3 linked regions of the Notamacropus eugenii genome follow. The protein of the gene in region 1 binds, or shares a complex with, the protein of each later gene. Links are inferred from orthologs where the notes say so. Each region holds a gene or a part of one and is shown in the gene's direction. Other genes may lie near its edges.

Evidence for each region. The genes of interacting proteins can lie anywhere in the genome.
Region 2: TXNL4A (region 1) and LSM6 share a complex: the UniProt entries of both Homo sapiens proteins name them as parts of the precatalytic spliceosome. The link is inferred for Notamacropus eugenii from reciprocal best matches to the Homo sapiens genes TXNL4A and LSM6.
Region 3: TXNL4A (region 1) and PPIH share a complex: the UniProt entries of both Homo sapiens proteins name them as parts of the U4/U6-U5 tri-snRNP complex. The link is inferred for Notamacropus eugenii from reciprocal best matches to the Homo sapiens genes TXNL4A and PPIH.

Annotation. Positions count from the first base shown.
Region 1 is NC_092875.1:200,534,427-200,538,517, forward strand, and holds the start of TXNL4A (thioredoxin-like protein 4A), read left to right. Parts: upstream 1-1,063; 5' UTR 1,064-1,301; intron 1,302-1,446; exon of another isoform or gene 1,447-1,922; intron 1,923-2,475; 5' UTR 2,476-2,496; coding exon 2,497-2,649; intron 2,650-2,750; exon of another isoform or gene 2,751-2,791; coding exon of another isoform or gene 2,792-2,815; intron 2,816-4,091. UniProt on the Homo sapiens protein: Plays a role in pre-mRNA splicing as component of the U5 snRNP and U4/U6-U5 tri-snRNP complexes that are involved in spliceosome assembly, and as component of the precatalytic spliceosome (spliceosome B complex).
Region 2 is NC_092877.1:143,189,106-143,193,196, forward strand, and holds the start of LSM6 (U6 snRNA-associated Sm-like protein LSm6), read left to right. Parts: upstream 1-976; 5' UTR 977-1,100; intron 1,101-1,906; exon of another isoform or gene 1,907-2,136; intron 2,137-4,091. UniProt on the Homo sapiens protein: Plays a role in pre-mRNA splicing as component of the U4/U6-U5 tri-snRNP complex that is involved in spliceosome assembly, and as component of the precatalytic spliceosome (spliceosome B complex).
Region 3 is NC_092876.1:74,540,722-74,544,812, reverse strand, and holds the start of PPIH (peptidyl-prolyl cis-trans isomerase H), read left to right. Parts: upstream 1-1,029; 5' UTR 1,030-1,157; coding exon 1,158-1,223; intron 1,224-1,676; coding exon 1,677-1,741; intron 1,742-3,459; coding exon 3,460-3,483; intron 3,484-3,776; coding exon 3,777-3,821; intron 3,822-3,907; coding exon 3,908-3,950; intron 3,951-4,091. UniProt on the Homo sapiens protein: PPIase that catalyzes the cis-trans isomerization of proline imidic peptide bonds in oligopeptides and may therefore assist protein folding. Participates in pre-mRNA splicing.

The DNA of each region.
Region 1 (4,091 bases):
CAAAATAGAATTTCTCCCCGTTGGTTTCTTTACCTTTAGAAGGAAGAAATTACCACTAAGCAAAAACAAGCGATCTTTAGCTGCTCTGCTTTTGTCATCGAGAGACAGAGAGACAGAGAAAGACAGAGAGAGACAGACAGAGAGAGAAAGAGAGGGAGGGAGGGAGGGAGGGAAGGAAGGAGGGAGGGAGAGAGAGAGAGAAAGTTCTAACCAGTGGAACTGTCCAACCATGTCACCCATGCACTCAATGAACAACAGTGTCTCATCCCACTTCCCTCATGAAATATAAAATCCTTGGTTTGGCATTCAAAGCTGTTCAAAACACAGACCTCCCCATCTACCTTCCAGTCTTCTTACTTAGTTCTTACACTTAACACCCTCCGACTCCCACATCACTTTGACCCAACGACACCGATCTTTTTGCTCTCCTACAAAGAAGATGCTCAGTTTTTCAGCTGGGCATTTTCTCTGGCTGTCTCTGTGCGCTGGAATGCTCTACCTCCTCTTCTCTCTATCTTTTGGCTTCCCGGCTTCCTTCCAGTTACAACCAAAACCACACCTTTCACAGGAAGCCTTTCCTATAATTACCTCCTATTCATTCTGTATATAGCTTGTATGTATTTGCATGTTGTCTTCCCCATCAGACTTCGAGCTCTTTGAGGGTAGGGACTGTCTTTTGCTTTTTGCTTTATCCTTTGCACCTAGCACAGTGCTGGGCACACAGTAGGCACTTAGTAAATGGTTATTGATTAACTGGATGTCTGGATAAGTGAAGTCCCCTGTCGCGGTCCTCATCCCTTCCCTACGCCAGTCTCCTGATTTGTTTCCCACACTCCTCACCCAGCTCTTCTTTCTACATGTCAGTGACAGTCATTCGCGTCTTGCTCCGCTGACCTACCCCCAAACGTTCTCCTCTGTAAAATGAGGGTGATACTTTCATTATGGGCCTCACTGTTGGACCACGGTTGCTGAGAAGATCACTAAGACGCTGGAGGTAGCGCTCTGATCGATCCGGGGTCTCGCTCCTCGCTTGCGCCCCCTCGGATTCTCAGAGGTCACCTCTCTCTTTCCGGCTGGCAGGGCCTTCCCCCTGAGGTTGCTTCCTTTTACACTGCACCTAAGGCGTGTGTAGAGGCATCTGACCGCTGACTTGCCCTGTAGAAATGGAGCTCCTGAAGGACTGCTGATCTACCGTCCCAGTCCTTGGCGCAGGGTCACAAAGTAGGCGCTTGTTCATTCAGCGGGGGACGTGATTGATATGGGGGGGAAGTGCTCTGCAAACCTTACAGCGTTAATGAAAGGTAAGCTCCTAGAGGATTTGATCCATCATTCTGTCCCTTTGGATAGATAGGAACCGGCGCAACCACGCTAGCTCAGATAAGGCTGGAGATGGAGCTGCAGAGCGATCCGCCCGGGTCTAAGCACGCGCGCGCGCGCCCTACAGGGAGCGCGTTCCCCCAACTGGGCCGGGGGCGCGCACGCTCTGCGCTCTTACGCACATACGTGTGACGCGTTAGGGGCGGAGAAGACGTCGGGCCAGCGGTTCCACCGGCGGTTCCCGGAGCTGGATCTTCTCTCTTTGCCGGCAGGTTTGTGCGTCACCTCCTTTCGTCAGGACCCGGCCCCGCTGCGGCTGTGAGCCCTTTTCTTCTCTCGCTTCGCCTCGCTCTCCGAGGCTCGGCTCCGGTGTAGCCCTCTGGGCACGCGCGGCCTCGGTTTGGCGGCCCGGACGGGAGCGTGTTGTCCGCCGCCGGCCCCTGAGGTCTCGCGTGGCCGAGGTCGGTGACGGATGCCGCCGCAGCCCTTGTCCTTAGCGCCGGGGTGCACGGCCGCGGCCCCCCTTAGACAGCAGGGCAGACTCAGAAAAGCTGCAGTGGGAGCGACCTCCCCCGTGGTGTGAATGAATTAGCGACCCCCCGGAGGTCAGTCCGAGGCTGCCAAGGCCTTGAGTGCAGAGAAGTAAAACGACTTGTGCAGGACCCCGCGGACACGGAGGGGCGCGGGCCAGAGTGGGACTCGCAGCCCCTCGTTTTCCCTTGCTTTCCCCGTTACTGTACGCTGCTGCCACCCATCATTGAGCTCCTTAATTCGATTCTTAAACGTTTATGTTTTCCCTTGAATTAAGGAAATGAGGAAAGTGGATGACCTGGTATTAAAAGCCAGCGTCTTCCATGAAGACCCAAAATGTTGAGTTGGTTTGCCTTTTAGTCTTCTGTAGGGGCTTCTTAGACTGTGGGCCTCGAGTGGAAGGAGGAGGAGGAGGGTCTTCCTTGGCGTGTGGAGGAGTATAGCTTGTAGCGGTAGAGTTGTAGGCGCGGTTGGGACGGTGAGGGGCCTTGGGGAGTGTTTCGATTCTCCCTAGTCTGTGTTGAAGTGTTAATCGTCTGCCGTTGCCAGGATTATTTCTTAATGTTAGAAGCAATGGGATGCACGATAAGAAAGCATGCTTTCTGATAAGTGAATTCTCCTCCACAGGACTCAGACTGACTGTTCAGGATGTCGTACATGCTTCCACATTTGCACAATGGTTGGCAGGTGGATCAAGCGATTCTTTCAGAAGAGGACCGAGTTGTTGTTATTAGGTTTGGACATGATTGGGACCCTACTTGTATGAAAATGGATGAAGTTTTATATAGTATTGCAGAAAAGGTAAACCTTATTTGAGTAGTACTTTTAATGCCATGATCCCTCATGTTTGTTTGTTTACAAAGCCCTTTGATGTCCTTTTTCTCCTTTGATCCTCCTAACAGCCCATGAAATAGGCAGAACAAGTATTATCTTCATATTACAGATGAAAAAATGGAGACCCAGAGAGGTAAAGTGACTATAAAGGGTCATATGGCTATATGGGGATGGAGGCAGGACTTGAACCTAGAACTCCTAATTCTCTGTTCTCTTTCCATTCTTGCACACTGCTATGACTTGTAATTGAAATCATTAATTAGGTTATACTCTTTTTTGCCTTGAACTGAGGAAATGAATTATGTATATGATTTAGGATTAAAAGCCACATTTCATATTTTCATCCAAAATTTTGAATTGATTTGCTTCTTAGTATACCAATACATAAGGTTAGATACTTAAGGTATTTTTCAAGATTTTTCAAGATTTACTTACCCCATCATTCAAGATTGAAATGAATCAGAATGATAATAAATGGTAAATAAAAAAGCATCTGTAGCACAGGCTTCCTGCACAGAGAATAATCAGTGAGTGTTTTTGATTCATGCTTTCTTGATTTAAGGGTCTTACTGCCTTCTGCTTTTTGCTACTTTCAGCATTAGCCTATTTTTGTGACTGTTAACAGCTACAGTTGTGAAAATTAGTTAATTTGACTTAGAAGAAAACATTAGCCTAAAATAGCCAGTCTAAATTTTCAGTGGATATTCCAGGAGTGTTATGCCTTATTTTTAGAGGCGAAATTCTCCTTCAGTATCCTAGAAGCTCTACTCTATATATGCTTAAATTTGGTTTTTAGTACCTATATTTTAAATTTTCTGAGACATGTGTTAAATGCACCTACATAGAGCATGCTATAATCTTGAAATTAGTGTCTTTAATATTGTTTTGTGCTCTTTGGTATTCATGTATGAGCTAATTGATATTTTCCTCTGAATTGATATTTTCCTCCATTTGAAAATAAAACCTTAGACTTGTGTTGTCTAAACCAGAGTACTGTTTCTCAGTGTTCTGTTTTGCCGACAGCAATAATATTAATCTGGGATATCACTGTGTTGTTGGGTGGTAAACTTTTGGCACAGATTTCTGGAGGCTGTGGTAGGAATAATCATTTAGTGTCAAGAAGTTGTGTTTGCAGATGTTGTTATAATGATGATGATAAATTATTGAGATGAAATTGACTAATGTCATATCTCACTTTTGTAAACATGGTTTTTCTTTCAAGTCTTCCATAGTGTTAATAAGAAACACTAACACAAATATATATAACTGTAAATAGATGTAGATATATATACGTATATATATCTCCATACATACATGCATGCATATATATGTGTGTATTTGTTTGTGTATATATGTATATATATATATGCAGGGTGGCTGCTGCTAGGTGGCACAGTGCATAGAGTGCC
Region 2 (4,091 bases), on another chromosome or scaffold:
TCTTTTCATTGTCCCTTTTTTTTTTTTTGTATATAAGCGTAAATCTCACCCCCATGAAAGTACAGATTCCCTAAGAATCTCCCCCACTCCTATTGGTGTTACAATAAACCTTGTCACCTGACTGGAAGAAGGTTTGAATGCATGAATTCTTTCCAGGCAGATACCACTCTGAACCTTGAAATGTCGGGATTCCCAGCAACCCCAAACCTTGTCCATGTAACCAACCAACATCTTCGTGGTTCTTCTCTGAGAACTTAGTGTAAAGGTTGCAGGGTGTCAGTCCAGAGACAGGAGAGAACAGACACCATTACAATGTGGGTGGGTGGGCACCCTATGCATGCATTCCATGCTTTTCGCTTTTTCTCCATTTTTTCTCCTTGGTTCCTTTTCCTTCTTTCTCCCCTCTATGTATTTACCCCTTCTTCTACCTTTTCATTCTTCAGTCTTTTTTCTCTATCCCCCTTTCTTTTATCTCCTCTTTCTGTATCCCCTCCTTCTCCCTCCTCTGACCTCTCCCTTGCTTCTCCCTCCTCCCCCCCTTGCTTCTCCCTCCTCCTCTCCCTCAACTGCCTTCTGGGCTAGGCATCTTAGGTGAGTGAGCGGATAAAACTTGAGACTGAATGCTGCCTTAACCCCGCCCCCCTCCCCCTGGCCCAGTAACTTCCAACTCTCGCACGGTTTTATTATCCCAAAGGACTCTAAATCCGTGATTATCCACACCCACAGCCTCTGCCCTCTGGGTCCTCTGAGCTGCACTTAGGTGTTTCACAGGCACTCTCCCCTACCTTAAACCCGCCCCTAGCTGGTCTTGGCCACGCCCTCGTCGCTCTGGCCACGCCCCTCAGGCCTTCGCCCCGCCCCTGGCCGCTCCACCACAGTTACAACAGCGGGGGGAGGAGCGGGAGTCAAGCTCTCCCGAAGAGCACTAGGTACACTCAGACCGCAGTATTTTGTCCCTGCGGGCTGACCGTAGCCCGGGAGCGCCGCGATTGGTCCGGCGGAGGCGCGCGCTCCCAGGCCGCTCCGGAGCGGGAGCGCGCGCGCTCTTGGCGGGAGGCGGAGGCGAGGCCGCGGCTGGCGTCGGCCGGAGGAGCTTAGAGGTGAGCTGCGGCGGGGCCGGGAGCGTGCTGGGCTTTGCCCGCGAGGTCTGAGGGACCCATGGGGCAGGGGGCGGCGGCGCCTTCCGGGGAGAACTCTCCGGGGTGACCCGAACGTTTCCGGGGGCCTCTCGGGGCCTCCCGGCTGGGCGCTCCTGGGTCCTCCGAGTCGGCGGACCCCTCCTCCCAAAGTCCAATGCACCCCCCGTGACCCCCGGCAGTCTGTGAAAAGCGACCCCGTGGGGCGGCCGGAGGCCTTGTCAGCCCCGGCGTGGGAAGGAAGGCCGCAGGCCGGCCCCGGAGCCGGAACGGGCGAGCTGGGAGCCGAGGCCCGGCCGGCCAGGCCGACGCGGTCCCGGGGGGCTCGGGTTCGGAGTCGAAAGCTGCTCCCCGGGGCTCCTGAGCTCGTTTTGGAAAAAAATGTCACTTTTGCTAACTGTGGCCGTTTTTAGGATTTCCTTCGAAATCGTAGACGTTTGACTTTCTGACGTCACGGTCATTCCGAGAAGGGACCCCACGAAGCTAAGCCCCCTTTGCCCCGCCCGTCTCCCTCCTGTCACGAAGCAGGGAACATGGTGGGCTCCTGAAGACACCCCCCCCCCCCCCCCGAGCCAGAGGCCCGGCTAGCGCCCGGATCCTCCTGGACAGGCCGCGTCCACCCGGGACAGGCCGCAGCGTGTTCCGTTTGGGATGAGAACCGTCCCTCGGGGACGCCCTTCCCTCCGCGTCAGTAGGTCCGGGGATCGGGTTAGAGTCGAACGGAGCCAGTGACCCCCACCCAGCCCTTGGGGAGGCCTAGGAGATGGGGGGCCGACGTGACTCGGGGCGGCCCCCCTCGGAGCTGCCCCCCAGGTGCCTGCTCCTCTCGTAGCTGCCCCCCCTGGGTGCCTGCCCCCCCGGTGCCGGCCCCGGCGCGGCTGTGCTGGAGCACGCTTTCGGCCCAGAAAGCTGCCCCCTTGGTCCCCGTGAGCTGCCCCGCCTCCGTCGGCGGGGTCCCGGCCGGCAGTTCTGGTTCCTTGATTCGAGCCCACTTCTTTAGGTGGGTAAGGGGTGTGGTCTGGCTTTTCTGTTCTGGTCCAATTCTGGAGGTGGTTTTGGGTCCTAGTTTCTATTGAAAGGCCTGGAGTTAAGTTTTTATTACGGATCTGTGGCCACTCCTTGTCTGGGGGAGCTTGGGGTTGGGCGTTTGTGAGGATCGCGCTTTGGGGGTGTTCTCCAGGGACTGTTTGGTGAGCTCCTCTGTTTGTCTGAACTGTTAGTTACAGAACCGTTAGGAGTCTTCCAAGTGCATCATCAGAAGCGAAGTGATTTCCCCACCCCCTGGGGAGACCCGGAGAGCGGAATGTGTGTGTACGATACAGGTGGTTGGCGTGCAGTCATTCTGCATGTGGGTTTGGACAGTGATCCTTAGTGACAAGAGAGAGTTTGTGGGGACCAGAAGGAGAATGGGAATAATAGCTAGCACTGTACCATCACTGAAGGTTTGTGAAGCACTTTTCCTAACATTGGAGAATGGCTCATATTACCAACACAGTGCATTAATACAACTCTAAATGCTCTTGGACGTCAGTGCGTTATACCTGTAACATATTTGTTACATTGTATATTATTAGTATTTTGACTCAGATCCAGCCCGCTTTCCTGTGTGTTTAGCCATCCAAAGGACCACAGATACAAAAAGTTTAATGAAACAGATATTGTTGACTGGAACTGAAAATCTAGAGAGACTGATTTGGTGTGGAATCCCTTTCAAGATTTAAATATTCCCTTGTCTGAAATTAGTACTTAACATAAAGATTTTTAAGATCTCTTTGGAAAATTACAACACTTGGATTTTGTTAGTAGTTAAAGTGCATTACTCAAACCTACATCACATTTGAGGTGAAGAAAAAGGAATAGTAGAATTCAGACCTAACCTTAACTAGTCAAACATTATAGGATGTGATAATATTTTTGATGATTGTAGTAGAGACTGCATTTTATGGTAGGAGAGTGGATAGAGAGCCATCCTCAGGAAAACTGGTATCCAAGTTTTGGTGTATCCCTGGCCAAGTCACTTAATTTCCTAGATTACTCATCAGCATTGGTAGAGAGGACGTTTCTCACAGGGAATTACTTGTCTATATCAAAGAAATTTCAAGTCACAAATTTTTTTTTTAAGTTGATTTTCATATAGATTTTCAAAGGTTTTACACATAGCATCTTATTTAGTCAGTCACCTTGTTAGGCCTTATTATTTCTACAAAATTTGGGGGGGTTGTTTTTTTTTAACCGGTTCTATGATTTCTTGGTAAAGGGAACCCAGAGTAAAGAGACTTCCTCAACCTTGCAGAACTGGCATGCTCTGTAGTTTTTTTTTGTCTGAGGACTCAGGTTAAGTGATTTGTCCAGTGTTACACAGCCACTACAGAAGGCTGGCAACAATCCTTATCTCCATGACTCTGAAGCCAACTCTCTATGCACTTACTCCATCATCCTGTCTCTGCAAATACTATTATTTCCATTTTGCAGCTAAGGAAACTGGGGCTAAAAGTGATTTTGTCACTTGGTCATGATCACAAAGCTATTATCAGAGGTAGAATTTGAACCCATCTGTTTTCGACTCCTAAATCTAGCACCTAGCTATCTTTTACACAAAGCTGAAAGGACCTTGGAGGACATCTGTTTCAGGACCCTCATTTCTTCCTCTCTTCATTCATTCACTTTTAGTTTTCAGTATTCACTTCCATAAGATTTTGAGTTCTAAATTTTCTCCCCCTCCCTCTCCTCTACCCCAAGACAGCATGCAGTCTGATATAGGCTATACATATACATTTCATATTAAACATTTTCACATTATTCATGTTGTAAGGAAGAGTTAGAACCAAAAGAAGAAACCATGAGAAAGAAGGAAAAAACAAAAAGAGAACGTCCATCGTGAGTCTTTTGCAGTTGTCTTTGTTCTCATTGCTGAGAAAAGCTAAATCATTTAGAATTAGGCTTCACACAATGTTG
Region 3 (4,091 bases), on another chromosome or scaffold:
CTTGGTTAGTTCCAGCTAGCTGTAGATTTGGTTCCATTGTCAAAAACTTTGTAATTTTCTGAAGGCCACTGTTGGTCTTTTCATTGGCTGAGTCCACCTGCAGTCCGCTGGCCTTCTTATTATCTAACTTATTCTCAATGACTTCATCAATTAACAATAACTTATTGTGAAAACTTAACTTTCGCTGTCTCATACTTTGGAGCCTAAAAAATAGGGCTCCAGACCAATAATATTTAGTGGGACATATAGATAAATTCTATTGCAGTATCTCTCAGTCAGTCAATATGCATTTATTAATTGCCTCTGTCTCAGGGAAGAACAATGCAGCCAACTTCCTGGCCCCTTCTCTTGCTCTCCTCTAAGAGAAAGGAATGGTCTCTCTTGAAGAGGCATATATGCAAGATCCCAGAGCTATCCATGGTCCTGTCTCTCCTTATCTATACATTGAGACATCCCCCGTCAATATATGTGATAGATCTTAAGATACATAGCATGCTTCTTCAGTATAGAACTGTGGATCATCTGCATACATAACTGAAATGTGAAATGAGGTTACCAAGAGATCATATGAGAGCAAAACGGGGGTTGTAAGCCTCTTGTACACAGGGTCCCCGGATCCTGGTAAGAACTGTGGCTCCAGGCCCCTCTAATGCACCTACCCACGTGATACACAACCAAACTCAGCATCTCTGTTGTTATTTCAATGGCCTCCAAACAGGAGACGCCGGCAAACCTCCAGTGCCGCCGCCCACAGCCGCAGGCACATGCCAGGGGCTTCATTTTAAGGGGTGGTCGTGTGCACTGCACACAGTGGTCTGGTAATAAATGTTTTATGAGTTTATTTTAAGGTTTGAGAAAGCATATGTGTGAGGGTGGGACGGAGGAAAAAACCAAGATGGCAGTAGCGGTTCGGACCATCACAAAGGAAATGGGAGACACGTGTACAGCGTTTGGCTGTCCTAGCTCCTGGGTCCCCGTGGCCACTGGCCCACCGGGCCTCCGTAGCTCCGCCCCTTCCCGCAGACGCCAGGCCCAGCCCGACCTCGGCCTAGGGGGCGGAGCCCGGCGTTCAGGCTCCAGCACGTCTGCGCCGCTGCCGGACCGACTCAGCGACCTCGGGAGCCCCGCCGGCCGGCTTCCGCTTCCGTGTCAGGATCATGGCCGTGGCAAATTCAAGCCCCGTCAACCCCATCGTCTTCTTCGACGTTAGCATCGGTGGCCAGGTGGGACGGGCATGGATCCAGGCAGTGCAGGATGACTGGGGAAAGGGCTGAAGGCGACTGCTGCCCGCTGCTCCGGGAGCACGGGGGGAGCAGTGGAACCCCGCGAACCACATGGCGAAGGGGGTGAAGTCTGAAAAGTGGGCGGGATCCATGTGTCCGGAAGATGGGGGGGAATGGGCGGGACCATGGGCTGGACCAAAAGACTCTAGGATGGGGGGAGAGCGGGCGGGACCAAACGGCTCGGAAATGGGGGGTAGCGAGCGGGACAAGGAACAAAGAGAAGGGTCAGAATCCAGGATGGGTCAGACTGACCGGGACCTAGACCCTGGAGCCTGGGCAGAATGCATTGGCAGAACCAAATATGGAGGTGGGGGGACCATGGGACGGGGAATAACGGGAGGGACATGATGAGATGACGTCACCGACACGCCCTGGCACTGCCCCGCCCTGCAGGAAGTTGGCCGAATGAAGATTGAACTCTTTGCGGACATCGTGCCCAAGACCGCGGAGAATTTCAGGTCCGGGAATTGCCCCCCCACCCCCGTCCCCGAGGGCGTGGGGAGGTGGGGGAGGGAAGGAGACTTAGCCCACGTGTCTGTGCCAGCGTCCGTCCGTCCGTCTGTAGCATCTTTCTTCCCTACAGTCTGATTTGTTTTGCCCGTATCCTACTTTAGAGCATAAGCCCAGTAGTGGGGTTTCTGGGTCAAAGGGTAACAGCCTTTCTTGCATAATTCCAAATAAGTTGGGTCAACTCACGGTTTTATTCCATCCTTATATTTTTCCATATTTGCCCATTGTTATCCGTCTCTCTTTTGTCTTCCTCTGCATTCTTTTGATCCTTAGTAATTTGGGGCAGTTTTTCAGATGATGTGTTGATGACATATATCTTTGAAAACTGGCACATAGTAAGCATTTAATCAGTGCTATCTTTCCATCTACTTATTTTTATCCCATGATCGCAAGTCTCTTGGAGTCATAGGTATGTGACTTCATAATCTTAGAGATTTCCCTTAAGATTATGATTCCAGAGTCTTGATGACTTAATATTAGGAGGTTTGCAGTAATTCTCTATAGATTTTGGATGTTAGATTCTCATAAGATAGGTTTAATGAAAATATTTTTCTCATTCATATCTTTTCCTTTTTTTCTAGTTGCATTATTTTTGTTTTATAGTTGAAATTGTATGTTTTATTTTATATAAATATAAAAAAATATAGTATTTTAATATAATTTTATATTTGTCTTATATAAAATAAAAATAAAATATATATAGTTTTATATTTTTAATTTTATAGTTGAAATTGTATGTCTTGTTTTATTGCAGCTGGTTGATTAAAGATTGATTCTTTAATCCACATTGTGGAAGATGACCTTCCATGGCCCTCTAATTTCTTTTTTGGGGCAACATTTTATATTTAGATTGTTTTTTAGAATCATGTTTTTGACTTGAAAGAAACTTCTGGGACCATATGTTCCCACCCCCTCATTTTGCAGATGTGCCTTATCTCCACGGAGGTTTTGTGCCTTTGGTAATAAGTGTCTGAGACAGAATTTGAACACAGGTCTTCTGACTTGAGAACCAATGATCTTTCCTACCAGACTGCTATCCTGTTTTCTCAGTGTTTCCTATCAAATAAAGAGTCCAGTAATTTGTGTACCTTGGGCTTGTCAAACATTGGATGCTGTGCTGATCTGATTCTAGGTTTTGCTAGCTAAGATTATTCATCATTCTAATTTTTTATATTTTTTAGCACCACGTAGTTTTGATGGTTACACTGCTTTGTGTAACATAACTTGAGACCACTTTATACCAAACACCCTTCACTCCTACTTCTTTCCATTTTCCTCGAAGGTGGTGTTTTTTGTTTTGTTTTGTTCTTGAGGTGGGGGAGATCATCTGTCTGCTTGTCTGCCTGTCTTACTGTTCCCAGTATCTGGGGGTAGGGAGGGAAGAGCAGAATCCCTATTGTTGTGTACCTGTCTCTAATGTTTGTGATTATTTTGTTTCTGTCATCTCTGTGTATATGGTGGCCTGTAAACAGTGTCAGGTTGTACGTGCGCGCGTGCACACACACACAGACGCACACACACTTCCCTGTATGTGTATGAGCATGTGGGAACCTCTGTTTACAGATGGCTGGGGTATCTCCCTTACCCAACCCCTAGGTCAAGGTTTCTCTTTTCTATCATTTCTCAGTATGTATGGTTTGGCAGATAATATTTTTCTTTCTTTCAGGCAGTTCTGCACAGGAGAATTCAGGTTAGTCTAGAAATTGCTTATTTCCCTTAGGCATGGCTTGGGTGGGAGCCACCTGCCCAAAGCTGGAGTCAGTACCCTTGGGAAGCTTCCATCAAGGCCTAGGGAAGCTGCTGGGATCAGGGATGCAGGCGCACTTCTTCTCTGTCACTCTTCTCTTTTAGTCAATCACCCTATCTTCCTACTTCTCCAGAGGCAATTTGGGGAGGGGTCTTTCTCCACCTCAGGGGTGCTTTACAGAGGGGCCTGGGATTGCCTGTGGTCCCTCCATTTCTCATCTTTCTCCTTGGTTGTAGGAAAGATGGAGTCCCTATCGGATACAAGGGAAGCACTTTTCACAGGTAAGGTTTGGGGCTTCCAGGGACACCTTCCTGTGTGTCATGAGTCACTTTCTCCTTTCTGATATCTTTGTCTGTCCTGTTTTTAGGGTTATAAAAGATTTCATGATCCAAGGAGGAGACTTTGTAAATGTAGGTACTGTGTAAGTTTGTCTTGTTCCAGCTTTGCCAGAGTTTTGCTTTACCCCCTCTGATTCACTATCTGATTTACTAGAGAAGAGGTTGGAGGGAGGGGTGGTAGACGCGGGCTCTTTCTGTGCTGCTCACTGCCTT